Linked DNA regions of Arabidopsis thaliana. The protein of the gene in region 1 interacts with the protein of each later gene in a pairwise test. Each region holds a gene or a part of one and is shown on either strand. Other genes may lie near its edges. The genes, in order: AT3G28430 and RR1.

Evidence for each region.
Region 2: the proteins of AT3G28430 (region 1) and RR1 interact in a two-hybrid assay, tested with the Arabidopsis thaliana proteins (one large-scale study listed by BioGRID).

Annotation. Positions count from the first base shown.
Region 1 is NC_003074.8:10,650,745-10,667,521, forward strand, and holds AT3G28430 (CLEC16A-like protein), read right to left. Parts: upstream 12,029-16,777; 5' UTR 11,661-12,028; coding exon 11,608-11,660; intron 11,237-11,607; coding exon 11,185-11,236; intron 11,112-11,184; coding exon 11,035-11,111; intron 10,955-11,034; coding exon 10,821-10,954; intron 10,735-10,820; coding exon 10,638-10,734; intron 10,558-10,637; coding exon 10,500-10,557; intron 10,409-10,499; coding exon 10,300-10,408; intron 10,200-10,299; coding exon 10,076-10,199; intron 9,924-10,075; coding exon 9,737-9,923; intron 9,585-9,736; coding exon 9,259-9,584; intron 9,136-9,258; coding exon 9,047-9,135; intron 8,968-9,046; coding exon 8,897-8,967; intron 8,696-8,896; coding exon 8,585-8,695; intron 8,501-8,584; coding exon 8,435-8,500; intron 8,306-8,434; coding exon 8,168-8,305; intron 8,078-8,167; coding exon 7,972-8,077; intron 7,886-7,971; coding exon 7,814-7,885; intron 7,698-7,813; coding exon 7,639-7,697; intron 7,544-7,638; coding exon 7,384-7,543; intron 7,238-7,383; and 5 more. Other genes in the region: ABCB22 (ABC transporter family protein), read right to left, coding at 1-141, 254-308, 599-796; AT3G28420 (Putative membrane lipoprotein), read right to left, coding at 3,930-4,580; AT3G28450 (Leucine-rich repeat protein kinase family protein), read left to right, coding at 16,615-16,777. UniProt on the Arabidopsis thaliana protein: Involved in membrane trafficking and vacuole development through membrane fusion at the vacuole. Required for membrane trafficking machinery and accumulation of flavonoids in the seed coat.
Region 2 is NC_003074.8:5,749,684-5,764,769, reverse strand, and holds RR1 (response regulator 1), read right to left. Parts: upstream 8,950-15,086; 5' UTR 8,658-8,949; coding exon 8,471-8,657; intron 8,415-8,470; exon of another isoform or gene 8,056-8,414; intron 7,974-8,055; coding exon 7,821-7,973; intron 7,738-7,820; coding exon 7,297-7,737; intron 7,224-7,296; coding exon 7,147-7,223; intron 7,069-7,146; coding exon 5,923-7,068; coding exon of another isoform or gene 5,917-5,922; exon of another isoform or gene 5,700-5,916; coding exon 5,631-5,699; 3' UTR 5,327-5,630; downstream 1-5,326. Other genes in the region: GATA17 (GATA transcription factor 17), read left to right, coding at 194-382, 635-1,018; COBL8 (COBRA-like protein 8 precursor), read left to right, coding at 2,666-3,206, 3,707-5,127; AT3G16850 (Pectin lyase-like superfamily protein), read right to left, coding at 13,789-14,462, 14,546-14,791, 14,875-14,995.

The DNA.
Region 1 (16,777 bases):
TAGAGACACTGGTGATAACATCAGAAGTGCTTGTAACATGAAGATCAAAGTAACCCACATCTTGTCTTAACACTGCTCTTAAGTACTTCTCTCTCATTCTTGATGCTTGTCTCTCCCCTGTCCTAGTCCAGCAATATCCTTCTGTTTTGTTTGTATTTGGAAAACCATCCACAAATTTCAATAAAATTTATTATGTTGAAATGCACCAAATTTAGCTTTCTTTTTGGTGTTAAACATTATCTAAAAAACTTACCAACGAAACATATCACCAAAGATGCACCAGCGACATAAAGCAAAGCTACGGCATTCTGTTATTTAGCCAATGTTTGTGTAAGAAAAAACGAATATACATTAGTACTCTTTTCTTATATATGATAAATATTATTCACAACAAAGGGTTATAGCTAGATTTACTCCATCTCACAACTCTCGTGGTTCCATTTTTAAACCAATTAGCAATGAATGAAATAAAATGATTCATATCTCTTATGTATTAGATTGGATTTATACACGACTCATAATTCCTAAACACATGTCGTCATTCAATCTTGCTAAGACCAAGAACAGAGAACATAGAATAAAGAAGAGAGAAAAAGACCTTCATGATGGCATGCATGAAGGTTTTATCACCGAATGAGGAATCACCGATGTCGTTGAGTAGCAGCCCGGTGATGAAAAATATTATAGGAGTGATGAAGCCATCACCGACGGCTCCGATTAAACCTAATCCCATCAGCACTAAATCCACACTGTTCGCATGCATGAATATTGATCTTACGCTTCCAAAACTCTTCATGATCTTCTTCCTTCTCCTTTTGCTTACTTTGGGTTTCGAAAAAAGAAATACTAAACGACACATTGACCTTGGGGAAACGACAACATACAAAGTCCTCATTTTTTAAGAGCAAATGGCACTATTAATGAAGACTCTAAACTTAATATGTTAAAGAAATCTAAATTTTTCGATTTTCACGTGTGTTGTAATTTGTTCACGTCTTCCTGGTCATTTTATATTGCAAGTAGCAGCAACCGGGAAGCGAGAGGCCGTTGGCTTTTCAATGCTAACGAAAAATATAACATGATTTTATAGCATTTCATATAAACTATTTTAAATATTTTCTTTCTTTTAAACTTATGAGATGCGTGGTTTTTATCTTTATACATTTTCAGGTAAGAAACACAACAGTTTATATTAGATAGCGCTGGCAAATCATTGCAGTGTTCTAAAACCTGGTTTTAGAAAAAACATCTAAAGACTGATTGAAATTGATTAGTTTCAGATGTAAATATGTAATTAATTGGTCTTGGGTAGTTTTAGGCAGTTTTCAGCGGTTATAGACAATTATGAATCAATTCCTATACTTTTTTGGTATTAGTTTTTAATTTCTTTTTCTTTATTTTTTACGAAAAAAATATTCTTAGTACAATTAAGTTTATATATATATTTTTAAATAACTTCTAATTTAATTTTAGAAAAGCGTTCAATTCTAACGCTTAAGAAATAATCAATTTTAGTAAATAGTCAGAAAACATTCTAAATTTGGGACAAACATGCAATGTGGTGGTTCTTCCGGAAGAAATCCACACTATTAAGCATATTGGTGCATTTCTACCTGACCGGATCAGCCGATAGGATTTATGAAATAAGAACTTTTGTTATTGACTTATTGTTATCTAATTCCTCAATTATATTTACATATTTTCATCTATTGTGAAACTTTAAATTTTCCCCACAAAAATGGGTGCCCATGCAAATGTTTTAAGATGCCACATTCATGGCAGACTCTAGTCAGTTCAAGACCAATTTGATCATAATAAAACAAAGTAATATATATGTACCAGATATGTCATCAATGTATCATTGACTTTAGCTGTTTTTGTATAGTAAAACTAAAATTAGTATGAAACAAAGAGAAATGTATTAATTCAATATAAATTCACTGACCACTATACAATAGTTAGAAAAATATATCGAGAGCTGTGCCTAAAACTTTTAATGCCCCAAACAAACAAGAAAAGTGTATATATAGTCTTTCATCGAACTTTTATATCATACAATACAAAAAGTAAGTGACTTTGTTTTGTGAAATAAAGTGCTTTTGCAATGGTGAGAAAATAAAGTGTTGTTATTGTTAAATAAGTTTTACGAAATTAGAAACTTATATTAGTGAATATTTGAATTATTCAAAAATGTTATGATATTTTTGAGACCTTTGAAGTCGTGATGAGATTTTAGGGAGTCATTATGAGATACTCGATCAAGGTCGTTATAAGACTTTTTAAGACTTTTTGGATATGAGATATCTGGGGTCGGTCAGGAACTTCTGTGTTTAATCACAAGACCTATGTGAATTGGTTGTGTGAAAACGGAATTGTATGGTTAACAAAAAAAATAATTATTAACCATAACCTTGGCACTGAACGTACTATGAGTCTATATAAGACTAGAAAGTAGAAACTGGTCCAACTACAACCAACTTAAGTTTACATATCGGGTCTTTAGGTATGCGTTTATAAACGTTATTTATGTAACTTACGATTGTTCCAATTCTGTTTTTAAATTTGAGTATGAACTGCAAATGCATGATCATATGTTTTTATCAAATTTCTGAGTTCAATTTTGATATAGCTTTAATCTTAAAATAATTAAAATCATATTTTTTTTTCTTCTGGATATTAAGATGTTCTGGCCACAATCCGTAATCCACCAGATCCAAAACCACATCATGTAATATTAGTTTTGTTCCAAGCGTCACTCGAACCGACGACATCTAAACGTCGCATAAGGTATTTACCAATTGAGCTAATGACACTTGGTAATCAATTACTATTAAACATGAAAAAACAGTTTTAAAATATGTTTGGTCATTGCAAGATGTGTCTTTCATTAATAACTTGTCAAAACTAGGTGGTTGGTGTGGTCACATATGTCTTATGGACTTAATGAATGTGTTAGTATTGGCCTATTGGGCTTAAAAAGTCCATCTCCTTCTGATCTCACTTCTAAACATAGAGCTCCATTGAAGGAGTTTGGTCCTCCATGTGAAATGCTTCCACCAGCTAAAAGACTCATATAATTGATCGTGAAGTCGTTGAATTTACTATGGATGATTCAAGAATCACGGAGAGGTGCACGTGCCAATGGGGATCTCGAAGATTGAAATGACCGAAATGTCTTCTCTAAGCACAAGAAAGGGATCCATATTTTTTTTTGATGTACCCTATCGGCTGATTTGGTTAGCTTTGTTAGGAATGCACCGAAGTGTTATAGAGTAGACTTCTCTCGATACAGGTAGAATTGAGCTACCATACAGTCTGATCCGAATTTATAATGCTTTCCGACTAATTATAAGGGATTGTAAGGCCGCCTACATTTCTAACTATCATGTAAACCAGTTGGACAAAGACCCAAGTGACAGACTTCCCAAACAAATGTATTTTTGTTTTTAGGGATAATCGAACTTAGGTATCAGAGTTTTACCATTCACCAAAACTTTCTTTTGCCACTAAACAACATAGGCTTGGGCAGGGATCCACATTTTTACACTAGAAATTGCAAGTGATCTTTGTTCATTATGATGAAAGAGCTTCGTTCCTTTTTTTTTTTTATCATACACTCAAACACCCAAAATCCATAAGTGTGAATCTCCGACTCCACATGTACAACAAGTTAATTTTCTTCACTGGTTTATGTCATTTAATATTTTGACTTACATAGAAGATTTAAAATTTCGAAGAAGATTATATTTTCGATTTTTTGTTGTTATGTAAATTTTTTGAATATACTTTTGTGTTCTTATGGCATTACATCAAAAAAAGAAGATGCGATCTTTTGAGCTATTAGCTCAAACTCACAAAAGAAACGAAGCCAAAGAACGAACAAAACCGAACGAATCTTAAGATGAAAAAAAGATTGTAGAGAGAAACTCTTAAACCAAACAAGTGACTTCCCGAACTAAAAAGCTACTGTCAGAGTCTTTTGGTCTCATCTTCTGATCAGTTTCTCTGTCTCTACCTCGTCTCGCATCTAGCACCAAATGTTGTCTAAACGTCGTGATGAACGCTTCAACTCTCTCGTTCAACTCCTCATTGGATAACCTCCCTGGCTCAAATTCATCTTCTTCTCCATTATACTCTATTTCTTTCTTGTGAAACAAGCAATCTTTCACAGTTTCCTCAAATTTAGGGCAAACTCTTTTCGTCTCCTCCACTAAAACACACTTCTTGATCACTTCCTTTGGCTCAACAAGTAAGAAACCTTGGTCAAAACAAGCCGGTTCCACCACCACCCTTGTCTTCTTCTTCTTAATCTTATTCTTTTTCTCTCGCATCATTCTCAATCTACCTCCTCGACGAGTCTTGAAATCATGACTCCTCCCGAGGTTAGGACGAGTCGAGGTAAAGTAAACGGCTAAGAGAACGACGTTGAGTATAAGAAACACCAACGAACGCCATTGCTCGATCAAATACGATACAGAAGAGAAGTGTTTAAGACAAGCCATTGAAAGAACAACAACTGCAGTCAACAATGAAGTACACATGTTCTCTTCCTCCACTCTAATGTCTCTCTTCATCTCCATTGTTCTCTCTATATCTCTCTACTTTGCTCTGTTTCTTTTCTCCTTCCTCCGATCGATTCTTATACGAAATTTCAAGATTCGTAAAACAAATATTTGGTGGGTCCGATTGTGGAAGACCAAATGGCGAACAGAAAGAACAAAATGAAAATGAAAAGACATGAGAAGGAGAAGGAAGAAGAAGGTGGAGGAGACAAAGAACAAGCATGCCCTTCAAATCTGCTCTTATTCTAGACATATTATTATTACTTTCTTCTCAGGCTTTTTCTCATTTCCTTTGTTTCTTATGTTTTTCTGCTTTTCTTGTTCCCTTTGTTTTCTCTTGGGGACCATTTTCCTTAAACCAATCATTTTCAACTTCCACTATATGCAAATTTAGTTTCAATTTTTTTTTCAATCTTAGTTTCCGGAATAAAAATAATTTTAAATAAATTCTTCTATTGCTTGTGGATCGCTTCTTGCAATGTTTACCAAATGTTACGGCCACGGATGCGGACACCCATAGTTTGGTCTAGTTTGGTCTAGTTTGGTCTGTTGTTGTCTTGTTGACATAGACCGATCAATTTATAGCCCACAAAAATATTATCCATGCGGACGGATCTATTTAGGTATGTTTAAATACGTTTTACAGCTCTACTAAAATACGCAAATATAATGGCCAAATAATATCAATTGGGTTATTGTTTTTTAGGGGAACAAAAAAATTGAGAGAAGTGTTAGCTACTCAAAGTTAAGTTCAATGGGAACTCTCATGCAAAGCTGAGAGGAGGGAACATTTTTGCAGGATGTGAAAATGTAATGAAAACTTATTTTTTTGGTTGAAAAATCGAATAACAATTTTTGCTATAAAAATAATAATTGAGACACATTACACGCCTGCTCCTATCTGTCATGTTAATTCTCTCATGGTAGTGTGTGGCCCCATGTTTGTTCTTCTTTCCCAAACACATGCGTTATCTGTTTTGCAAATGTTCTAATCCCAAAACCTCGAAATTTCGAATTGCATTGAGCAACTTTTATACAAAATTGTTTAACATACATTTACTGACAACTTTTAAAATCTAGATTCATACAAAAAGTTTGAATGTTTATAATTTAATAATAGTGTGTCCTAAACTCAAGAACTTACATTAGAAATCGTAATTCGAAAGTTAAAGCTATTTGCTTCTAATGGTAGGCTTAAGACGGCTTCCATTCTTTTCTTTTTTCTTGTTAAAACGGCTTATGAGTCTGTCCCTCCCATAAAGCAGTTTTAGGGCACCAATATAAAGAAAATTTTAGAACTATTTATTCAAAAAGTTTGCTTTGGTTAGTTGGTTATGTATTTCATCACTGAGTCATATGTGTTTGGTTTCATTCCTTCATGTTACATTTTTTGTTGTTTTGTGAAGCGGGAGTTGATTTTTTTTTTAATCCATTTGTTAATTTTTGGTCCAATTTTTTTTTTATTAGGTATTACCAATAAAATTTCCAAATTTTTGATTTAACTTGGTTATTAGGTAGTACGACACAAAATCATACACTTTTCTTCTTCATTTGCATGAGGATTGGTTTGATTCCGTAGTTACTTCTGCAACATTTCACCATCCACTTGCGGTATATTAGTTCTTTCCGCAAAACTAGGTGTCAAATGCCTCAAGGTTTGGTGCCCAATGTTGTGATATATAACAATCTAATAATGCATGTTTATGAGGAAGAACATATCAGCTGAATAAAGTTTGTTTCTTTTGGAGCTCATTAATGAAATGAGAATCTCCATATGTCGCAAACCTACAATATCTTGATACATAGGTATATGGTCGTTAGATGATATGTCGATGAAGCAAATGGTATTTTATACAATGATGTTACATTAAGACCACTATTACAAAAAAAAATAAAAAAATAATAAACGAAAACAAACAAACAAAAAATGGACACGAAACTTGTGAAACAAGGTACCTGAAAACTGGGTACGTTGCAAGAATCATGGAAGCTGCTCCTAAGAGTGCATCTAAATTGCTTGGAGTTTAGTATATTCAAGATGGGGAAGATCATTACCAAACTTTTGAATGTGAGATCTCAAACCCGACGAAGACAAAGTCGATCGATGAAGGCAAGGTATCGGCAGTATGATGTTTCATTGATCTTCTAGCTGGTTTCTTTCAAGGTCAAACAATGGCCTTAACCTTCTTTCTACCTCGCTGCATTGTAGATCGATCTCACCTGCAACCATTGAGTAAGCAGAGTGGCAAGATTCATCGTCCCTGAATGCTAATATCCATCTCCCATCTACTAGACCTTTGGACTTGAGCTTCTCATAGACTCCTCGCTTTGTTGGATCCAACAACGGTAATGTAGATGGTCGGATTCTCAAGTGTAGCCATCTCGGGTGCTTTTCATCTATTCGGGGCTGAAAAGCAAACAAAAGATGATAGAGATCATGTACTATGTTAATATTTCAGGCCTTCCTGTGGATCTTCACGGGCATTTTCGTTAAAGAAGAAGACAGTGAAGGTGATTACGTACTTTGCAGCCGGCTAAAGGTGCCGTTACACGGACGATTCCATTATCTGGATCAGCAAGGACAATCCATCCAGACTCACCGGATGATAATGCTAGAAATGAGAAATCTCGTTCCTTGCCTCTTTCAAAGGCAATCCTACAGGGTACAGCATCAACTGCACCAGGAAATTGCAAATATTAGATTACCTATGGATACCGAGACAAATCAATCAAACTGGAGTTCTAAGAAATACAAGAGATGACATCATGTAATTGGTTAGATGGTGTAAGTAGGAGAAGTATAAAAGCATCATGCGCTAACCTAGCTTCAGTTCGGTGCCAGGTTTGGGGACTGATACATCCAGACCAGCTCTTGTGGCACGAGAAGTTTCAGATCGGTCGGCTGGAGGATAAATAGGCGGCTGCTCGGGTAAGGACCTACCGAGCGAGAAAATTTGGAGTTGATGAAGAAGCACGAAAACCTATAAGGAGGAAAGGGTTGATAATCAAATGTCCGTATTCATATACATAAACGACAAGCGCTGATAGAAATATAAAGAGAAAACGATTAACATACCTTTACCACCTCGCACATTCTTTCACCAGCTGTGAATGATGATTCGCTAACAGAGTTATCTATAAAAGATCTTCAGGTGTTAATGGTTTGCATAAATAGGGTTTCAACAAGGAATGTCCATATCATTCACATTTGTCATCAGCTAATTGCGTAGAATGTGTAATAAATATCCTACCATTAGAAGAGGATCTATCCAGCTGAAGAAGAACAGATTTAGGCTCTTTTTGAGGGGATGGAGCTTCGATTACTGTCAAAAGAGAATTGGTATCAGAATCATTGAACATATTCTTACAAACGAAATCCAACGTATCCAAAATTCGCTTCTTTACTTGCCTCTTTTGCACTTTCTCCACTCATCAAGCAGTACCCTGATGAGTAGATCAGGCCAGATACCTTTAATTTCCCTGGTAAGGGAATTTTTGCATTTCTCATACGAAACCTGCGATAAGCAGGAGGTAAATAATCAAGAGAGGGAGAGGGGAAAGAGAAACAGTGGCAAACCGAAAAAAACATCTTGAAAGCAACATACATTCAGCATCTTGAGATGTTTACGATTAAATTCTGCCTCACTATAAGGAAGCAATTGGCGTAAAAGCCATCCTCCATCCCATAATGTTTCTGCAGATATGTTTTCTCGGCAGAGAAGAGTGACCAATGTATCCACCACCTACACCATATTTGTAATTAAATTAAGACAAGAACTTTTGCACTGTTATGAAAAAGAACCAATCTTTAGCATTTGGAATTTCAGAAGAAGCTAGGCTAGTAGGTCAGGTTTACAAACATTCATATTTACCTGATGTCTATGTACACGGGGGCACCTTGCAGCCCCAGGCAATGAACAGCACACTCCAAACTGCTCCTGTTGAAGGTACTTGAACGAATGAGTCAATCACAGAATAATACAACACCAAAGAGATGGAGTTTAAGAGATGCAGTGAAGTACCTCCAACCTCCGTAGATACCAATCAAGTTCACTACTTAAGCCATCTCTCATGGAACCATTTCGCGGTGAAAATAGTTGTTCTTCACCAGTGTCCTCCCCAACCAAAGATTGCTGTCAGAGATAGCTACCAATTAAGTTTTGAATAATAAGGAAAAAAGGTAGTCCATATTTTTTGGTCCATGCTAATATGCTTTAGTAGATGGTCAAGTAAAAGGTATTAGTAACAAAATCCATGCAGATGAGACTTTCCCTGGCAAAATTTGCTGGAAAATATATTACGCACAAGAATAAAGGATAATGACAGAAACTCACCAGCAAAAGTTTTTTGTGCTGCTTACGCTGAGGAAGAATGCCAAAAGCATCTAGCATTGACTCTTCAAGTTCTACCAAAATCAGAATTTAAGACGTCAATACCAGAAAAGGCAAGAAGAATCTGCACAATGACAATGCCACTGCCAATACCTTTTGTCTGCAGCAGAGTGGCTAGCACAAACAAGGAACCCTGAGCTTGTACATCATCTCCTTCAGAAATATATTGAAGTAAAGTCTCCCTATTTACAAAGAAAAAAGAAATAAAAAAACACATAAGCTTAATAGTAAAAAAAAAAAAAAGGACAATACTAAGACAGCAACTATCCCAACTTCATTCAAGGTCTTATTTGCTAACACTTTACCTAAACGTCATATGAGAATTGTTGAAGATACTTTTCGGAGTATCTTCACTGCATAAGTGGGAATTTCCATCGTCACTCATGCCTGCCGCAGTGCTTGAACACTGTTGATTTGCCTCCTCAGTAACACCCTTGTCTGGATGCCCATTTACATATGTAAGGCCTTCAGGAGCCAAGCTGCTATTAGGTTTCACTAGGGAACTTGAAATGAATGCTTTTACAGGGCAGAAAAGAGTAGCAGCAGTCATATTTGCCAAATCTTTGATTTTAACTATCCGCAGGATGCATGAAAGCAGATAAAGAGAAGTGACAGGATCAACTGATATGTCCTGAAATAACCACAAAATCAATACTTTAGTGAACTAAAAATAGAACTCTGGCAAAAAGTCAAACCTAACAAGGGTAAAAAAAACAAAATCCCAAAGGAACAAATAAGTCAACCCTGAAAATAAAATTAAGAGGAAAAGGTGATATTTGGTACATTTACAGCCTCGGAGCATAAAGACGGGAGAAGAAGTGGGAGAGTTAGATGCTGCAGAATGTGATCTGTTATCAGCCTCCCGATATCAGGTATGCCAGCAGAGATAACATCACTAAAGTAGTACAAGGTGTCCTCAATCCCATCAACGGCAGAAAACAATTTTCCACCTGAATCCGGAGATGGGCTTCTGTAGCAAAGATTAAATGAAAATCTTTCAGAATACAATTTATCCAAATCATACACAAACAAAATAAGTAGGTAGATGAAAAGGGGTTGTGATAACTTATTATCAATTTTACAAGCTATTTCCCTGGGAAATGAAATTGCACTGAATCTTACTTTAGAGTGTTCAAGACCATTGCACTTAGATCCATGCATTGCTTTTGGAAAAATGAAATTAATTTTGAAAAGTACTCGGTGTGCGGTGGACTAACTACATAATCATTCACAGATTCATCGCCAACTGCAAAAAACAAATTAAAGGCATCAGAAATGTTGCTAAAGGTTCTGATTACTTTTATCATACAAGTGACAAATCTAAAGAACTATTAGAAGTGACTGACCGTGATATACATTAAGAGTCAGGGCACGAACTGCAGTGCGTATCATGTTCTCTTCATGAAATGCAAATTGTATGCCTTCGACATAAAGGGGGAAAGAAACTACTACATCCTAGACGCAGAAACGCAGAATTAAAATAAGGCAGAAAAATCCATAAAGGAATATAAAAGTTAAAGGAACATGAAACAACAAGAATACTCACGTTCTCGGTCTTCAAAAGCAACGATATTGTATGCTTGTTCAGCTTCCCACTAACAGCTCTACATAAAACAAACAAAACAGTTAAAAGACACAATCGGTAAGTACTTCCTGAAGCCAAGATATCAGCCGGAAAATTTACCTTAAGAAGGATATGTAGTAAGATAGAAGCTCTTCGTGTTGGAAGTCAAATGTATATGTTATCAAATAGTTTACATATTCGTTACTGAACAAGTAATCTGCAAGGAGTTTCAAAAGAAAATCATCAATAGACTATAATCATGAGAATTCTCATAGAAAAATATACTGCATCTGATAAACTCACAGATGGCTTGTTCACTTTTTAGGTTTTGGATCATTATACTCATGGTTTGCAACAACTGGACAGAAACTGTTACTGTCTTGCTAACCCTCAAAATACGTACAAACTCTCCCATTACTTGTTTCTCCATAAAAAATCTGCAACAATCGCAAATATTAACAAATGCCAAAAGAAAAATCCAAAGGTGGCTGACTGATAATTAGCAAAAAAGACTCACTCAAAGAATAAGGGGTCATGCTGATCCCCATAAGTTAATATCTCCGCAATCGATCTCAGTGCCTCGATAACGAGATCCTTCAAAAATGACACCCGGTAAACAGACATCAAAGCCTAACAAAACAACAATGCCAAGACAATGTCCACTAACCTTATTAGCCTCGTTTACTATCTGAATCTTTCTCAGCTGGTCAGTCAAATACCTATATAAAAACCAAAACTTTCAACACTTACTATGTTTCATCATCATCTGGTATAACAACTAATGTCGTAACACTACGATCACAATGAACTTTCTGAGAACAAATCATTCTCCTACAATGGTCAACATAGTCCCTTTGACCCCTGAGACTAGGGAAGATGAACTTATATAGTTTCCCTACAATGGCACCACTCAAATCATCAACCCTAGCAAACTACTTGCAAACTACCAATTCAACAAACACCCTTAAAAGAAACATTTTTCCCCCACAATCAAAGGATAATCTCAGCCACAATTCAAATGAACCAAAAGAGAGATAAATCGGAAAAAAAAACTGAAACTTGTTGTAAAACCAAAGGCGATCAAAGAAACCTGAGTTCGGCTAAGGAGAATCGATCTCTGGGTCTTAAGAAGGAAAGCCACATGATTGTTTAAATCAATCCTTTGGAAAGTTCCAGTCTTCTTCTCTGGATCATCCTTCACTCTCGAGAAAACCCAATTTCCATTATTGCTTCTCGTCGATTAAACCAAATTCCACAAACTCTGACGAAATCTCTGATCCAGGGATCAAAATCATACAAAATCAAATCGTATATCGAGGGGAATAAAAAGTTCGAATTTTTCGAATGATTGTTTAGATGTTTCTTCCGGTAAAACAACAGAGATTGATGACGGCAATTGCGAATTGAAGCACCGATGTGGGTTGAGAGCTGGCGTTGGATTTGGATTCGGATTCGGATCCGGGTCGGGTTCAATCTCGAATTCAAAGAAAGAATCTTCAATTGAAAGATCCGTCTTTCGCATTTAATTTAATTTAAGGGGAACATTTATTTTTCACGTTGGACCCTCTGACTAGAGAAGAGGCTTCTCGATAATCAATGACTCACAACTGCCACGTCATACACATTATTATTTACAAAACTAAATTGTTTGTTGTCATTATAACATTGGTGATTTGCAGAAATGACCATGTTTGATAATTTATTTAAGAATATAGCATTTTAATATATAAAACTAAGTAAATAACACTAGAGAGGGATGAAAAGTTAAGTAACTCCTCATTAAAACATGAGAACACGCGCGTGAAAAGAGAAGAAGAGTGACGTGATCCTTGACACTCTTTTCGGTTTATGGACATAAATAAAAGAGAAAAGTGTTGGCTAGCGTGATGGTGGCGAAGATGGCGATGATGGTAATAGTAACAATGACAGTACCGATGGTGATGGTGACGACAACAGTGGCGGTGCCGATGGTAATAGTGATGATAACAGCGACGGTGCCGATGGCGATAGTAAGACAACAGTGGCGGTGCCGGTGGCGATGGTGACGACAACAGTGGCGGTACCGGTGGTGATGGTGACGGCAACAATGGCGGTGTCAGTGGCGATGGTGACTACAATGGCGGTGCCGGTGACGAAAAGATAATTACAAATATATATTGATTTAAGAAAACTAAACCCTAAGATACTATACATGGAACCCAAACAAAAATCATTAAACGAAATGAAATCATCTCAAGTTTCAATTTTCAAAAATCTAGCAGCAAAATAGAATAGTACAATGGTGATGATAGCTTCGGTGACGATTTTCCGGTGATGATGACTCCGGTGACGATTTTCCGGCGATGGTGGCTTCGGATACGATTTTCCGGCGATAATGGCTTTAAAAGTAGTGGTGGTTGTGGTGGTTGTGGAAGAAAAGAAGAAAGAAGAGAGAAGATGTTCATGCAGAAGAAAGAAGAAGAAGAGGATATAATTGTATTTATTACATATAATATACACAATATCACCTTATGGTTTTTGAAGTGTTAGTTTCCAAATTATTAAATTTTTTTAGGTTATACTTGCAAATTTCCCTTATAATATTTACAAATGGCAAAAAAATGATTGGAATGACTCAGAACTCTATCAAAAACGTTTACTTAGATTTAAACTAGCTAGTAGTATAAAGAAGACCACTCTATTTGTTTATTTCCTAGTAAAGTAACGAATTATTTCTTCTTGAGATTCTCCCACAATTGTGTGCCAACATCAAACAAAACAATACAAAAGTTTATAAAGGCATGACTAAAAATGTTATGAAGTTTTGACCATTGTATTTCACATCATGAAGTTTTCTTGTTAAGCTTGTTTTAGTTAAGTATTTCATGTATTATTTCTCACCACGATACATCTAATCTGACGTACTGAATTTCAAAACTTTTGATTTGTAGCATTTTATCTAATAAATTACAAGTTAATTCTACAAAAATTGAAACCCATTCCATCGAATGCGTGGTTTAAGTCCCAAATTTTTATCTTCTAGATTTTTAAAATTTTTAATTTTAAACAAAATTAAAATAAAAAACGATTTTACAAGAGAAAGTTTTTGCCTTTTCGAGAAGAACCGCAACCTTCCCACAATCTAGAAATCAATCTCCACTTCTCAACAATGGAACAAAAATCTTTTATATCTCTCGAATTCAACAATGGAACAAAAAGCTTTCCTTAAAACAAAATTTTTTTATGTCAAACCATACGAGCACAAAAGACAGATAAGTCTTTTGTTATTCTATATTTGATTTGAGCCAGAAGGAATATCTTTGCCAAAACGACCAAAGGCAAAGCCCATTTTGTGATTGCCAAGAGCAACTTATCAGTAAAAGGTTAAAACATAGTCAAATTAAACCGGTAAGTGTTGGACTTTGGAATCCAAGATAATTACCAAGAGAACCAAGGATTCCACCAAATAAAAATATATCTATTGTTGTAGTTTAGTATACAAATAAATATTTTATTAAAATAATACTAAATTAGTAACTAATTTCATTTATCACCAAAGTGATTACAATAGAATAATCTATAACTTTTTGAGTGCATCTATAAAAAATGTCACTTAAGTAATAGCCACAATCCATTAGTATAAATTTTCGTTTGTTGAAAAACGAAGGCCACTAGGGTGAAAGATGATTATGCTAAGGTATATTCACATCAAAATATATGGTGGTTCTATCATTTTCATTGTAGTTGTGTTCGTATATAGGTTAGGTTAGTTAAAAACTATTTAAACTTTGTCATGAATATTCCTATATAAAAGTGCATATTTGACCATACCAAACCCATACATACCTAACCGGCTAAACCCCATTTGCTCTAACAAAAGGTCTACGGTGACAACACCACACGCACGCATATGCAATAATAGTATTAACTATTAAGTATATGAAATACATATGAATATATGCTTCTTCTTTTTTTGTTAACTAGGGAAAATCTAGAAATCTAGACCAATGCCTAAACTAATTTTCGAAATACAGAAATCGAATTTTCTTTCCACTAGAAACGTTTACGGGTGGCTAATCTGTGACTGTGAGACATATACATTTCTCATGATATGTTGATATTAAGTGAGGTTGAGGCTGTGTCAAAAAAAAAAGAAAAAAAAAAGTGAGGTTGAGGTTTTGAATCTAAGCAAAGAAAGATCATACACAAACTCCATTGAGATGCAAATTTATCTCTCCTAATCCACTTAGATCATCCTCAAGGACGTATACATAATGTATTATGAATTAGATATTTCACCTTCGTGTCCACTACACTTCATTGGTAACAAATACTCTCTCTGAATTTGAGGTTTTGAGTTTTGCACATCTATTAAGAAAAAGTAAATTTTATATTTTTAGTTATTATTTTGTTAGTTTAATAATATTATTATTATTTATCTCATTCTTTTATTGGTCACAAACTAAATTAATGATGATACTTTTACAGAACATTAATCTTAATGGAATAAATTAAAAATTCAAAACATTAAATTTCTTGGAACAGATGGAGTATATCATTAGGACTAATGATTGCAGATAGTGTGTAATCCAACTATATCATTTGGACTAATAATTGCAACTAGTGTTTTAAGAAGAATAAGTTCTAGCTAGTAATTATAAATGACGTTTATCGAGATATCTTGGATAATGGAATTAAACTTTTAAGCGTCTTCCTTGTATCCAATGAATTTTTATAATTTTATCAAATTAAACATGCCAGTTTTAATGCTATTGTCATCTTGTTGTTATAAAAATATCACACTCCAAAAAGATTGTAAGAATCCTTAAATATCAAAATTAACCAATAAAAATAACTACCATCATGGTTGACAGAAAAAAAATTTAACTACCACTCGGTTCACAACAAGCATATGATTTACTGCAAAAGCTCACCATAATATATATGAATCGTTTCCGTGACTTTTTCCAAAACAATATAAAGACGGTCGTAAAACTTTATCATCTGCGTAAATTGTTGTAACAAAGTTTTTTTAATTGTTTCTATTTATGTGATTTTCTAATTTTAGATCTATTATATTTATCAAAACTTTAGGGTTTTATATGTTTATTTTTGGGTTTTTTGAGTTATGAGTCCATGAGTTTGCTCAATTTGAGCTTAATACTGAAAACACGGTTCTGTAGAATCGAAAAAACAAATTCGGATAAAGGATATATCACATAATATTTGTTTCGTTTTTCGTTGTTTTGTCGACGGATCATGGAAAGGAAATGACAAGTTTTATGGATAAGAGTGATTTTGCACCTTATTAAATAGGAAGTCGCTAACCATGGGAGTTGCTAATTTGCGTAGAAGTCTATCTCCACTACATAAAGAAGTCGAAGCTGTACTCTGGATGATGAAGTGTATGATTGGTGCCGACAACCAAAAAATAACTTTTTTTACAGACTGTTCAGACTTGGTGAAGATGGTGTTTTCTCCAACCGAATGATTAGCATTTTCAATATATGTGGAAGAGTTCTAGAGCGACAAGGAAAAATTCACAAGTTTCCCTATATTTTTAAATTCTCGAACTGCAAATGTTATAGCGGACAATTTGATAAGAAAAATTCATACTGAACCGTTACATATTACATATGGAAATAATTTATTTAAAAATTGGCTTTTCTAACTTTTAAAAAAAAATTTGATGATAAAAAAAAAAGTTACAAATCCGAAATTAATTATGAAGAAAAAGAAAAGAGTCCGAAAATAATCAACATAATGTTTATGTAAAATGATCTATCTATAAGATAAGTCAACTTAAGGTAAAAAAACAAATTATATTTCAAATCGAACAAACTAGTCGAATAAAAAAGAAATTCAACTACAAAAAAGACTAGACAATGATGGAATTTTGTTATAATTTGCTTTGAAAACTTTACTTAAAAATTACTATAATAATAATAATAATTAAAAAATGACATCAAAGTCGACGACTACTCTATAATCCTTGCGACGACCGTTCAACACGTCTGACTTACATATTGTCTCTCTGCAACTTTTCATTGGCAGATACACAAAATCTTTAATTCTTAATCCAAACCCAGAAACAACCTCTGAAACCACTTCATCATCCATGAAAGAGATCGGCTCAAAACCAAGAAAGTTACTTCCTTTATGCTTCATCATCTTCCTCTGTTTTTGTTCCTCTGTTATGGCTGCAGATGAAGACGACATAAGATGCTTAAGAGGACTCAAAGCATCTCTCACAGATCCTCAAAACGCGTTGAAATCATGGA
Region 2 (15,086 bases), 4.9 Mb from region 1:
AAGCTCCCGCTCGAGGGTATTTTAGTCAATTCAAATAACCCGAAATACTAGGGTTTCCGCCCCCGCCTTCCTCCTCAATTATAAAATTCCTCTCCGTTTGTTTAATTCTGTTGCTACTAACCGCCGTCTCTCTCTCTCTCCCTCTTCCTTATCATCAAAACTTGCTCTGCTCCGATCTCTTAAAAAAAAAAAGATGTCTGAGGGATCAGAAGATACGAAAACAAAACTCGACTCTGCCGGAGAGTTATCAGATGTTGATAACGAGAACTGCAGTAGCAGCGGAAGTGGCGGTGGTAGTAGTTCTGGTGATACCAAAAGGACTTGCGTTGATTGCGGAACTATCCGAACTCCTCTTTGGCGTGGTGGTCCTGCCGGACCAAAGGTGAGATTTTTAACTAACCCTTTCATTTCAATCTTCTTATAGTCTATTGGGTTGTTGTTAGATTCCGATCTAGTAGATCTAATCAATGGATCGCGAAATAGCATCTATATTATGCATGATCCTATTTTAGGTTTTATCGTTTTTCAAATTTATTTAGGTGATGAATCAATTTAGTGACCGGAAAGATCTGATCTCATATTGCTCTGAAGTTCAAATTTTTCTTATTTCTTTGGTTTGTCTTTTGCTATGTAGTCATTGTGCAATGCTTGTGGGATCAAGAGTAGGAAGAAGAGACAAGCAGCACTTGGTATGAGATCAGAGGAGAAGAAGAAGAACAGAAAAAGCAATTGCAATAATGATCTAAACCTCGACCATCGAAACGCCAAGAAATACAAAATCAACATAGTTGATGATGGCAAGATCGACATCGATGATGATCCGAAAATTTGCAATAACAAGCGTAGTAGTAGTAGTAGCAGTAACAAAGGAGTGAGTAAGTTTTTGGATTTAGGGTTTAAAGTACCGGTGATGAAGAGATCAGCGGTTGAGAAGAAGAGGTTATGGAGAAAACTCGGTGAGGAAGAAAGAGCTGCTGTGCTTCTCATGGCTCTCTCTTGTAGCTCTGTTTACGCCTAAGTGTTTCTCTGTATTAGGTCATAATCAAGTGAGAGCGATTTTGATTAACTTAATTAGATAGAGATAATATGTAATGAATGTGTAAGTTCCTAGTTTTTTGGTTCCACTAATGTTTTGTGTTCATTTTCTTGATGAATTCAAATATCAACACTTTTTTTTGGTTCTTAGTCATTCAATGCCATAATAATGAGAATTGGTCTTAATTTTTAGTGCCTCAAATGTCATTCTCTGTGTATGGGCCCATATGGCCCAAGATATTGGGCTTTATCGGGGGAATCGTGAGGCGCGTGATTCTAGTTGTCTTGTCTCCGTCAACTCCACCATTTTTTTGTTTTTTGGTCCATTGATGTCGTTTTTCATTTGATTTGAATTTTTATATGCTTTTGAATTCACAACTGGTTTCAAATTCAGATTTTGTATGGTTTAGAGTTTTTTTTATATATATATCATGCTGAGGTTGTATACTTCGATTTGTTTTTTCATTTTATTGAAGGATGGCAATTTTTCGATTTGCACTTGGCAGAGTATCTGTTTGTGTGATTAAAAGTTGTTATGGTAACTTTGTAACAGGGACAGTGTAAATTTTCGATTTGCAATTGGTTTTGTTTTTCATGTAAGCGTATGATTCAACCTTAATAAGCCATCATTAATAATTAATAATGGTGGACCAACAAAATTTTAAGTAATGTTAAATATGGCAAAGTCATGAATCATACTTATAATTTTTTTTTAAAAATCTAAAGTGGTGACGAAAATATAATTCATTTAAATGGATCACTGGTGGACGAATGGTGTGAGTGTGACATGGCTAGGTAGAGCCGTGAACCTCGAGAATGATTCAAATTAACGGGGCAACTTCGTTCAACGGGGGACTTTCTTTTGACCAAAGCTTCTATTTATGTGTTTCACCCTTATATTATGCAGTTTCTTCGATTTAGGACCATTACTTCCATTGATTCCTTTATTTTCCTAAGCAAAGAGTACAATTTAGGAATAACTTGTCGATATTTTCCATAAACACCATTTCTTAATTTTGGAGATACGTTTTCCTTATTATTTTTCACAAATTCAAACAAAATCTTCATAATATATTTTAGCTATCAAATCACACTCTCAATACATTCAAAACTTCCATAAACACTCTTAGAAATCACTAAAATTTAGTAGACAGAAATATCAGTAAATATTTGAATATAAGTCATTTAAGCGAACATTCTATAAACTGTGTTTGGTATCAATGTTTTATAGCTAACGATTAGGTGTAAATTACACATTCACATAATTACTAAGATATAGGTTGGGGTTGCATTTTTTTATTAACAGAAATATATGGTTCATCTTGTAATTTGAAAACTTAAACCCACTATTTTATAATTTTGTCAGAAGAACAAAACCTTGTCTTTGGCTTTTGTTCGTAACCTTTGTTTACTTGATCAAGAAAAAACATTAAAATCCGACCAAACAAGGAAATATACACATTTTCAACGCGGACATAAATTTTCATTACAGCGTCTTACTAAGCTGTTCTGTTCTTTAACGCGGTCTCTTCCTCTCTTCAAAATTAAACTTCCGATTTTTCACCTTTTCATTTCCAGAATTTGTTTTTTAAAAAAGAGATTTTTGTGAGTGAAGAGATTTAGAGTAATCATGGGTTTAACTCGAAATTTCATTTTATGGATTCTTTTGTCATCTCTCTTCACGGCGATTCAACTAACGTCGTCTCAACGCAACACTCCACCACCACGCTCTAAAGACGCCGATCTCTGCAACGGCGTGTTCGTTTCCTACACTTACTTAACCGGTACCAAGATTAAACCAAACGACACGAAGAACCAGCCGTACCGGTTCGAATCAGAGATCACGGTCCTAAACAACGGCCGCGACGAGCTTAAATCGTGGCAAGTCTTTGTTAAATTCGCCCACCGCGAGATTCTTGTTTCAGCGACCAACGCTGTTCTCTCTGACGGTTCTAGCCTCCCGGCTAGCGTTGAGAACGGGACAATCTTCGCCGGGTTTCCATCGGCGGATTTGAAGACGGCGATCATGACGGCCGGCGACGTAACTCAGATGGAAGCACGTGTTGAGCTCGTGGGTACTCAGTTTGGAGTTGCTCCGCCGAGTGTTCCGCTTCCGAAGAACATCACTCTTGTTAATGATGGATGGTCTTGTCCTAAACCCACTCAACAAGGTATCAAAATCATCTGAATCTTATGACTTGAAATCTTGAGATTTTTTAATGTATTTTTTCATTTCTCGTTTAATTGTTCATAATTTTTTTAATGAATTGTTGCAATTTTAAATATTATGTGATCTTGGGTTGCTTATGAAGGCATTACCAAGAGTTTTAAAAGTCGAGCAATATGATCACATTGACCAGGTCTATTTGTGATCAATAGAGTGGTTGAAAAATTCTATTGTTTATATAGATTTCTTGTAAACTAAAAGTTTGAACTAGTCTTATTAGCAATTGAGATTAGACCTTAAGTTTACTTAGGAAACTATCTCATGCTTGGCTTTTCTGATAAATGTGTGGAATATCTGATTAAACATTTTGGAATTTAAGCTGTTCAGTTTGCATATTTGTTTTTCTTTTACTTCTTGATCATAATAAGACTCTTATTGCTGCGAGCATAAATGTTTCCTTTGTGTTTCACTGACATTTCTTTTCTTCTCTATGGCTTTTTCCAGGTAGTAATGTTCTGCAAGTATGTTGCACACCGAATCCGAACATTACAACAAGCAAAATTGGTCAAAAGTTCCTTCCTAGGCAAGAAGGAGATCTAACCATAATGTACGATGTGACCAGAGCATATCAGTCGAGTTACTCAGCGCAGGTCACTATCGAGAATCATAACCTGCTTGGTCGGCTTGACAATTGGGATCTAAGTTTTATGTGGATGAAAGATGAGTTTCTCTTCTCAACCAAAGGAGCTTATCCAAGTGTTGTCGATTCGTCGGATTGCATCACTGGTCCTCAAGCAAAATACTATAAAGATCTTGACTTCTCTAATGTCATGAGCTGTGCAAGAAGGCCACACATCATAGACCTACCCCTGACTAAGTATAACGATACCAATGTCGGGCGTATCCCATACTGCTGCAGAAATGGAACTATTCTGCCACGGTCCATGGATCCAGAGAAGTCTAAATCGGTTTTTCAAATAGAAGTTTACAAAATGCCTCCTGATCTCAACATCTCCTCTATAACACCTCCCCAGAGCTGGCAGATTAAAGGTAACCTTAACCCGGATTACAAATGTGGCCCTCCTCTTCGTGTCAGCTCAAGCCAGTTCCCTGATACAAGCGGTTTGCCTTCAAACAAGAGTGCATTTGCTAGCTGGCAAGTCGTCTGCAACATCACTCAACCAACTCCTCCTAAATGCTGCGTCTCATTCTCTTCTTATTTCAATGACTCAGTAATCCCGTGTAAGACCTGCGCTTGTGGAGGTTGCTCTAGCGACAGAGTGGCGCGTACTTGCAGCACAACTTCTCCAGCTCTTCCTCTTCCATATCAGGCTCTTCTAATTCCATTTGACAACCGAACCAAACTTACCAACGCTTGGGCAGTGTTAAAAAACCGGAAAGTCCCGGACCCATTACCTTGTGGAGATAACTGTGGAGTCAGCATAAACTGGCACCTAGCTACAGACTATCGAGGCGGATGGACTGCTCGAGTCACACTCTTCAACTGGGGTGATACTGATTTCGTGGATTGGTTTACCGCGGTTGAACTGAGAAATGCTGCACCCGGTTTTCAGAAAGCGTACTCGTTTAACGGAAGTATCATCGCGGTCAACGGGAAGAACACAACTGTTTTAATGGAAGGGCTCCCTGGACTGAACTATCTCCTTGCAGAGAAAGACGGAAAAAACCCGAGTGAAGACTTTCGGATACCCGGGAAACAGCAGTCGGTTATCTCCTTCACCAAGAAACTGACTCCTGGAATCAAAGTTGGTTCCAAAGATGGGTTTCCCACCAAAGTACTCTTCAACGGCCAGGAATGTTCACTCCCTTCTGTACTACCCACGAGCAACAGTCACAGGAAACATGTATCCACCTTTCTTCTCATCCTGACACCATTTTTGGCTCTACTGTTTCTTCGGATTTAAAAGTTCCAGTGAAGGACTTTCCTCATTAGCCAGAAAATATACAGTTTTCTTGATTCTTTCTAACCAGATTTGATGCAGAATTACTTCTACTACTAGTGGTGCTTTGTGCACCGTGTGATTCTTGAATTTCGTATGATCAGATTTTAGTAATCAGTATGTATACATACAAATATTGAACAGACAAATCCCTTTGTGTTTTGATCTTGAATTGCTTTGATTTCACGTTGTGGCGTTGTACTAAATTAAGTTTGTTCGAATTATTCTAAGCATTTACTCGAAATACATACTTACAAAACCCTAAACAGCCTCACTACATAAATGAGGAACAAAAGAATCTCCAAGGATATTAACCCCTAACATGAATAATTATTTCTTATATAATCTGCCATTTAAAATTTCATGCAGACTACATATATATCAAACAAGTTTTAGTAGATCGTCGTGTAAAAATGATACAGTACAGATCCGGGTAGTCCCTCCGGTTTATCGGTTTTTTTATCCAATCAAACCGGAATGTTATCGATGGAGTATGCGTCAAAGTCGAATTCGCCATCAACCGGTGCAATCCCTTCCTGTATATCAATAATTCAAGATTGTGTTTTTCAACTTTTTTGGTTCACTGATTTTTTTTGTTATTTAGTTGTAATTTGCATTATTATGAAAAAGACATGCGACCAATGGTGAGAAAGCGTCTGAGAGTTGTTATATATTTGATTTTGAACGCAAACATGTACGTTGACGGATCAGATTATGCTTCTATATAAGTTTGACAAAAAAAAAAAAATCAAATCAAACCTGCTTAAGAAGTGCGCTCATAAGATCTTCTTGATTACTATACTGCTCGTGAAACGCCATTGTTGCTGTATCCGTAGCCACTCTCTCTGATTTCACCCTCACTGAACCACCGTTTCCGTCTGCATAAACCTGATGGTGCTGTACCATTCCCGATGGTGGCTGCTGGTGGTTTCGGCCATGCTCGGTGGCTGCAACTGTCGTGTTGTGTCTTGACATGGACGAAGAAGAGTAGGCTTCTGAAGCGGAAAACGCAGCGGATTCTGAGTCCTGATGTGAGTCAAAGGCTATTCCAATATTCCTCAGATCCCAATCATTCTGTCTGGTGGTGAACATGTCGTAGCTCGGCGTAGTGAAACCCGCTTCGGAGCTGTTAACCTCTTCCTGGTAAGAAGTGGCTTTCCGAACCGGTACTGATATCCCTGGTGCACTTGCCAGCGGGAAACTGTTCACGGGAAGTTCTGGTTGGAAGTTGTTATAAGGCATCGAGCTTGATGAGTGTTGTGTTGTGAGATTAGTGTAACTTGTCGGTAACACTCTGCTGCTCTCGGGGATATTGTTCCTTCCAGAGAAACCACTTCTCTCGGAAATGCGGTTTGATAACATCGGCTGCCTGATGGATGATTGCGAAGAGGTTAGCATAGGCGGTGGTCCCCGAGGCAAAGACTGCTGACCCGCTAGAGGCATCAGCATTCCGTTGTTTTGAACACTATTTCCAGCTCGAACAGCAGCAATCTGTTGTTGAATACTCATTCGATTACCCATAGGAAGCTGCTGTTGTAAACCCGTGGGGACACCGTGAAGTAAGTTCATCTGTGGTTGCTGTTGGGGTTGTTGCCCGTGATGCCCAAGCCCTTCTCCAAATCTTGTTTTCGTGTTGTCAAAGCTGAAGATGCTTCTCTCATCCACAATGGAGGAAACCGGCAAACCTGACTTAGAGACCATCGCAGGCCGGCCTAAACCAGCGGCTTGAAGCTGTGCAAGACTCTGTGCAGGTAACTGACCTGTGACGGCTAGTGCTTGAAGATCAAACCCATTCAATGTCGAAAGAGGTCCGAAGCTCGCATCCTGACCCGTCATAAACGAGTTGTTAAGATTGCCTTGGTGCTGCGATACCCCTCCAAGCCGTCTTAGATATATCCGGTATTTCTGCAAGTCCACATAAAGCCGCTAAGAACATCTAAGCATTTCAATGGCTCATTTTGGTATCCAGTATAAGATTTATACCTGGAGGTGACTTGCTACGTTTTCTCGGGTTAGACCAGGAACATTCATCAGCTCTAAGATCTTTTTAGGAACCGCCTCTGCGCCATAGAAGATCATTTAGACCCTGAGCATAACAATCACAAATGCAAATGTAAGAAGTTTTAGTCTTACTCTCAACGCCGAGCTGATTAACAGCAGCAACAAACTGCTGATGCAATTCAACAGACCAGACGACACGCGGTTTCTTCAAATTCGACGCATCTTCGTCCTTATCATCTCCTTGCTCTTCTCCTTCCTCGTCTTTCCTCTTCCGTGAACTGCTCCTCCAATTGTTACCTTCGTTAACCGAGGATGAGTTATCATCCACCGCATCCTCTCCACCAGAAACAGCTGCACCACCACCACCTCCTCTATGTTGCTGCTGCTGTCTCTCGCCAGTCTCCTCAATGCTCCCAGAATGTTCCGGTACACTCCATTCACTTCTCCTCTTCCTAACTACATGCTGCCATATGTTCTTAAGTGCCTCCATACGTACAGGCTTGATAAGGTAATCAACCGCACCGTGCGTTACTCCCTTTAGAACCACACTCTTTGAATCATCCGCAGACATCACTAGTTAAACGAATACAAGATCAATAATCTATAAAAAAAGATTCAAACTTAGATGAGATTTGAGGGAGTAAAAAGAACGTTACTGATAACAGGTAAGTCCATCTCTAGACCAACATGCTCAAGAAGCTTGAAACCGTCCATGTCAGGCATATGAACATCACTGATTACTATATCGAATCCATGTTTGTTCTTCCGGAGCAGAGACAATGCCATCTCTGCTCTGTTGCATTTCGTTACTGCATGTCATAACAACCAAAATGTTTCATATCTTCAAAGATAAAAGAAAAAAACAGAGATTTGAATTCTGACAACAAGGACCTCATGAATTGACATTTAACCAAAACTCAAGTCAAAGATCAAAGACTCAAGATTTGAATCCATTTGAAACCTCCCCTAACTTATTATATACAATGGATCTACATGTGAATCTATCAGTAGATCAAAATGGTGTGATCTAAATGAAGAAGCTCGAGATTAATATGTGAATCTTAAAAAGTAACCAAAATGGTTTCTATTAAAGGGGGAGCAAAGTTAGTCAACCACCGATATGAAAACCATAATTATTCCTCAAAATAACATAATTTTCGAGAATGGACCACAAATAAACCCATCATTGGAGCAAGAGACCATGAACTCTCTTTCTCTCTCTCTCTCTCTCTCTCTCGTGAGATTAAACGAACAAAAAAAAAAAAAAAAAAATGAAAAGAGAAGATCTTGGTTTTTGGATACGAACCTTCGTAAAGACAAGTCCTAAGCATCCTCTCTAAGATCATGAGACAAGTTGGGTCATCGTCAACGACAAGAACTCGAAGACCAGAAGGAAACATCTCGACGACGGTCTCACCACCACCTCCTTGATTTCTACCGGAGCTGGACCCACCAGCCGATCCGAGTCCTCTTCCGTGACTCGGATTCATCATACCTCTCTCTATGTAGCTCGAACCCAAGAAACAAAAAAAGAAAAGCAGAAAAGAATATATACCCAGAAAGAAAGAGGGGAAATTGACGCGAGTTTTATTCGATTTAAAATTGAATATTATGAGAGAATACGAAATTGTTGGAGATAGAAGTGAATCTCTTCTGGGTAACCAAAAAAAAGAAGAAGAGAGAGATGGTGAGATGAGACTTAGGGAGTTGAAGAAGACAAGGCTTGTCTCACCTTAGAGCTCTTTTTCTCTGTTTTTTTATTTATTCACAGAGTAAAGCTCTCTTAATTTTTCCTATTCAATTTTTGTAACATTTAGATGCAGAAGAAAAAAAAAATGTGGTTTTTATATACTCAGTCATATATATTTTTTATTTACATATATGTAGAAGCTGACATGTCCTTTATTTTCATCATTCTCTCTACATTTAGACTATTGGTTTTATTAAATTTCATTTAGATCCACTCTCTTTTTTATTCTCAATTTCTTACAAGTTAGTTTTGTATATTATATGTACTATTGTTCTATATTCTGTTTTATTTTTCTATTTAGAAGAACATTTTGGATGTTGCTTTGAGCTCAAATTCTGGGTTATTTTGTGAAGTAGTGAAATATAGGGGTTGAATCATCAATGAAAGAAATATAGGGTAAGGAAATTTATATAATTGGGAAGAAAGTGGGACCAAAGACCCTTGATTCGTGGATCCAGCTCATGCATGAAAAAATTAATTAACTCGTCATATGTAAAGTTTGCAAACTCAAACCTTAATAGATTTTCATTAGTATTATTGTTGTTAGTTTCCTAATTTTTTGTTTTAATTTCCATTTTCTACCAATTTCGAATAGGAATTTGCCTTAAACAAAAGAGCAGCTGCATATATATATAAAAAATTCTTAGTTTTGATATGCCTATAATTTATTTACTAAACTACCCTTTGAATTTATGTAATTGAGAAACAATGCCTCCTGTCTATTGGACCTACATGTATTAAATTAAACGGCAAAATAAAAATATAATCATATCATTAAATTAAACAAAATAATACGTCTACGCACATTCAAGCATATGATTAAGGTACCAAAATACACCTAAGCATTTCCCATCATCACCTACATCTTTAGCTAAGATATAGTACATATACTTTTATCAACAAAAAAAAACCAGATATATGATGTATACATAACATAAGATTACTCGATGCCTTTTTTGGTGCAAATTAAACATATAACCTTCCAAATTTTTTAGTATGTATTTATTTCAAGTCGTGTGTAACTATGATTAGTAAGAATATAACTTATATAGTATACTTTTCATGTTTTAATCAAAAACAACTTGTAGTTCTAGGAAATAAATTGTATTAAATGGAAAATAGAAAAAAATTGTACGTTTGATTGTTGAAAACATATATATATATATATATATATATATATATGTATGTATAATTACAAGTTTACAACAACAGTAGTCAGTATATGGTGCAAAAAAAAACATGTGCGCTTCTTCTCTTAAAACGTTGGATACTAAATAAACAAAGAAATAATGCAAATGGTTCATCTGAATGATTAGTAACATCATATGCTACCCACCAATCGCCCTATTCCCCCGAAAGTATATTTTTAATAATGTATAGGATAACAAATCATATTTGACTATTCGATTGCTCTACGACATATTTATAAACACATACAAACCAGTAACTTATTTATAAATGTGTAAATTTGTCAACTTCAATGTAAACTATATCTAAGTTATCCAAGTTCAGTGTATACTTTGCTTAAATAGTTGTTTAGCACCGCCGACATGTCTTATCTTTTTCAAATTAACGATAGTTTTAAGTGTGACATACGACTTGTTTCATATGTGCATCGATACCTAATTTCTTACATTAATCAATGTTATCAAGTAAAATTCACTACTTGTAGTATTTAGAAGGAAAACTCAACAATACGAATATTAAATCAATTAAGTATTTCTTTAATTTTTATGAACTATCAACTATAGTGTATTTTCTTTTGGAAATACTGTACATGTGTATATTTCGAAGAATAAAATGAAAACATTTAATGATAAGAAAAAAACAAATAAATCACGTTGCTGAGAAGCTTTCCCTATTGCGACACGTGTCCACATGAAATGGATAAGATCACTCGAACCATTTGCATCGACCTCTCCATCTATCGTTGTCTTCATTTGTTAAATTTTCCCTATTTCAACAATCATTTTAAAAACATTAATAGAAATAAAAAAAACGAAACTATTCAACATTCCAACTTGTAATTGTTATCGTCAATAGCCACTTATTACCACGAGAGCTTGAATTTGAGTTTAAGAAAGATATACTCATAATTTCATGTTTAGTAGCTTTTTTTTCTAATAGCTTTCTTTACTTTTCCTTACATACGATATAAAACGTAAAAACAAAAAATTGATGATTAATATAACATAAATTTAACTGCGCCAAAAGCTATAATATAGAGAAGGTCCCAAGAAAGTAACCCGCTGAAACCGTATATTCTCTGTAAAAAGTTTTTACTCTTACGATGAGCTTTTTGAGTTTTTAATTTATATTTTTCACTTTATTGTGCTTAGACAGACATGAATTACAGATCCTCCTATTTTATTTATATTTCAAGTACCAACTATAGGTCCATGTCACCAAAAAAGGTTTTGTAGAACACAAATGTTTCAGCTTTTTATGCAGAACCAACAACTTTAATATGACTAACATTTGCACACCTATGGAGCGTTATATTAACATTAAGTGAGTAAGCTACTGAAAACTTGTTGAAGTTCTTGATGGAAAATGCACTCAGCAAATTGGATAATCAAAATACTTAGATCCAAAACATACAAATGCGTTAAAACAAAAGTATAACTTGATATGCTCATATACGAAGGACCATTTTATCCAAAATTCTCGAATGTGAATATTTCAGAATCGATTGCATGTGATGAAGACAAATTTTCATATTTTGCATTGGAAGTATCTGTTTAAGCAACTAAATGGTATAATGGAGTTTTTTTTTTCTTTTTCTAGATAATGCTTTAAGGTCAAATATTAATTCACGCGGGCCAATAGAATATTGGTTCTTTTTCGTCCTAATTATTAATCCATATGGATTTTGAAAAGTAAATTTGTATAACCAAATTTAATTAACGCCTGCCAATAGAAATGTGGAGTTATGTACATAACTTATATATTCATCTACTTGATGGGTGTCCTATCATGTGCCCATAACTTTTGGTAGGAAGTTGTAACTTGTATTACTAAACACCAATAGTTAGAAACTGAACAACTTTTTTCATTTATTTCAAACTAATCGTTTTGCAAGTGTTGTATACACTGAGTTACAATGAAAAAATTACAATAAAAAAACAAACAAAATCACACTAAAATAATAATGAACGTTACATTGATGCAATGATTTAGAGTATAAATTGGATTTGATAAGCCTTACATAGGAGTTAAAATGTGAAATTTTATATTAATTACACTAAACATCTGGGGAAAAAATATAGCCCGATGACAGAACCATTCCTAAAACTCTTTTTGTTGTTTGTTAACTAATGTTTTAGATTTCTACTAATTATCGTTATGTCAAACAGACAACTATATGTCTATTCAGTTAAAAAAGAGAACTGTTGAGTTTGAGTGTAAGCAAAAGAATAGAGTGGGAGAACAATGGGGTCGACGGCTAAAAAGATGAGCCACGTGTCAGTTCAGGAGAAGAAAAGAGTATGGCAGCCATAGTGTTACGACGAACTAACCGCAGCAACATTGCGACACGACTCCTTTGCTTTTTCTTCTTGCCAACCTCTCGACAAGATGGGACTAATATTGGTTTCATACGATATGTAATTCAAAAACTGTTATTTCACTTACAAATGTTTCTTTAAAAAAATACAAAAGTTGCGGTCCTATACAAAGAAAAAATGTTGTCACTAAATTTTAATCTCCCAAAGAAAGTGAAAACGGACATGAAAATGTACAATTACTAATCAGTAGATGGTAATTAATGTTTTGACAAAAAAAAATATAGACGGTAATTAATCTTAACTTATGGCTAATAGTAATATCATCGCTAATTAGGAGAAAGGAAGTATCTAAAGTCCGGAAAAATGACCTGCAACCGCCCAAGCCACTCTTCAGCCGCTCGTAACAGCTTTTCCGTTCTTTGGTTTAAACTTGTGGGACACGAAACCAGAGATGGGCTGAGATTGGTTTGGGTCGCTTGTACCTGGAATCATTGGTTTGAACCGTTTGGGTTTGGAATGTGTCTTGAGTTGCGTCTTGGGTCTTGTCACATGTGTGTGTGTGTATATGTATGTGCAAGAGATGGGTGTACCTTCTGACTTCTGAGAGCTGAAAACTACAATGACAGGTTCGAAGATCTGCATTGTCAAAGCTCACATAATTATGTAATGATAGCATTTTTCATCTCAATGGAGAAAATTAAGATTGTTGGAAGTTACGTATAAATAAAAGGTAGTAATCCATCAATTTCACAGCTGTACTCAAAAACCTAACATTTGATTTTGATAAACAAAAATGATAGTTAAACGTTGAAACTCACAAACAGAGCAAACAAGTTAATGCAAACAACAAAAAGAAAGAATCTTAAAATGGCAAATTGGCAATGATACTTGATTCAAATGAACTTCCTATATTCCGACAGGACTCCTTGTTGTGCTGATCCAATCCCACACATTGTTGTGTGTTTCGTCATCTGAACTAATACTATCTTCCAAAACATGAGAGCATTTTGAAATTGGAAGTATCTATCTATAACCGAACAAAGAGCATCCAAGACATAACTAATCATTTCACATATAATTTTTTATTTTCTTCTTCACAGAAAGAAAAAAAGATGAATTTTGTTACACCATGAATGAAAGAAATGGAAGCTGTACATTAATACAATAGAAAAGCTCGCTCTGTTCTTGAAACTCACCACCTTAAAACGTAATTTTTCTTTTTTTATCTTCTTCCTCTCGCTCTCTGACAACAAATTTTATGAACTTATTGACAAAAAAAATTCGAAAATCCAATCGTATCGTAACCTCATGCACTCTCTTCTTCTTTTTCTTCTTCTTCTTCTTCATCACCATTTTATTTTACTATAATTACCAACTGTAATACGACTGAGCCGTCGCATCACCCTCGTATATGCTACCACCGGCGAAGCAAGACGAAGGAGAACTCATGAGTTCTTGACAAGGCTCCGGTGATACGTCGTCTGAGAAACCAGAGACGTTGGAGCATATCCAAGATTCTTCTGATCGCGTTTGTAAATGAATATCCGCGAGGCATATCGACGTGAAGGGAGATTCTCCGATCCCGGTGAGATTCCCGGCTACTCCTATATCAACTCCGGTGAAATTCCGCATAACAATGTGTGTCACGACTGGGAGTGCGTCCCGGTCGAATTTATCATCCGGGTGTGACCCGGTGTGTCCGTTGGCTACTATGGCTGTGTCAACGCTTGTGAGATCGACGTCGGAGATTGTGATATTACGGATGTATCCTCCTCTGCCTCTGGTGGTTCTGAAGGCTACACCTATGAGTGAGCTGTGTATGTTAAGACGCTCAACGGTCACATCCGAGACTCCGCCTGACATCTCGCTCCCGAAGGAGATTCCAGCACCGGTGGGAGACTTTAATCTGAGATTCCGAATATGAACAGCGGTGGTTGGACGGCCGTAGTGTATACCGTATTGGTCCCAACCACTCTTGAGAGAAACCGCGTCGTGGCCAACGTTGATTGTTGAGTCCTCGATACAAACATTGTCCGAAGAATCTTGAAAAAAAACGGTTCAAGAAATTAGCTTTCAAACGGTAACATTTTGTAGTGATGGAAAAGAATGAGGAAATGGTATATACCTGGGGCAACTCCAAGAACGTGGGGAGAATCAACGGATGTTTCGATCAAAACTTTGCGGATATGAATCTGACTGCAATAAACAGGGTGAATGTTGATTGCGGGCGCGTTTAAGAAGGTTAGATTCGATATGAGGATGTGTTTAGAGGAGACGAATTCGATGATATGAGGTCGGCTATAGTTCAAGGACCCGGACTCAAGCCACTCCCACCATGCCGCACCTTGACCGTCAAATGTCCCATTTTCACCTACCAAAAAATAAAGAAGCTTTGAGTCTTAATGTTGTCAAGCCAGAAACTTAAGGTAATGATGGCATGATTTTGTTGTTTACCGGTGATGACTACGTCTATTAGATTGTCTCCATTGATCAAACTTCTGTACCGCTTTCCAGGAAGTTCAATTCCGCGACCATAGGACGGTAGAGGACTGACAACGTCCCAATGCGACGGATCCTAGCACATTAGACAACAATTGAGAGACCGTGTTACAAAAAACTTGTCTACCAAACACTTCTTAAAGAGCTATAGATACCTAAAGAACACT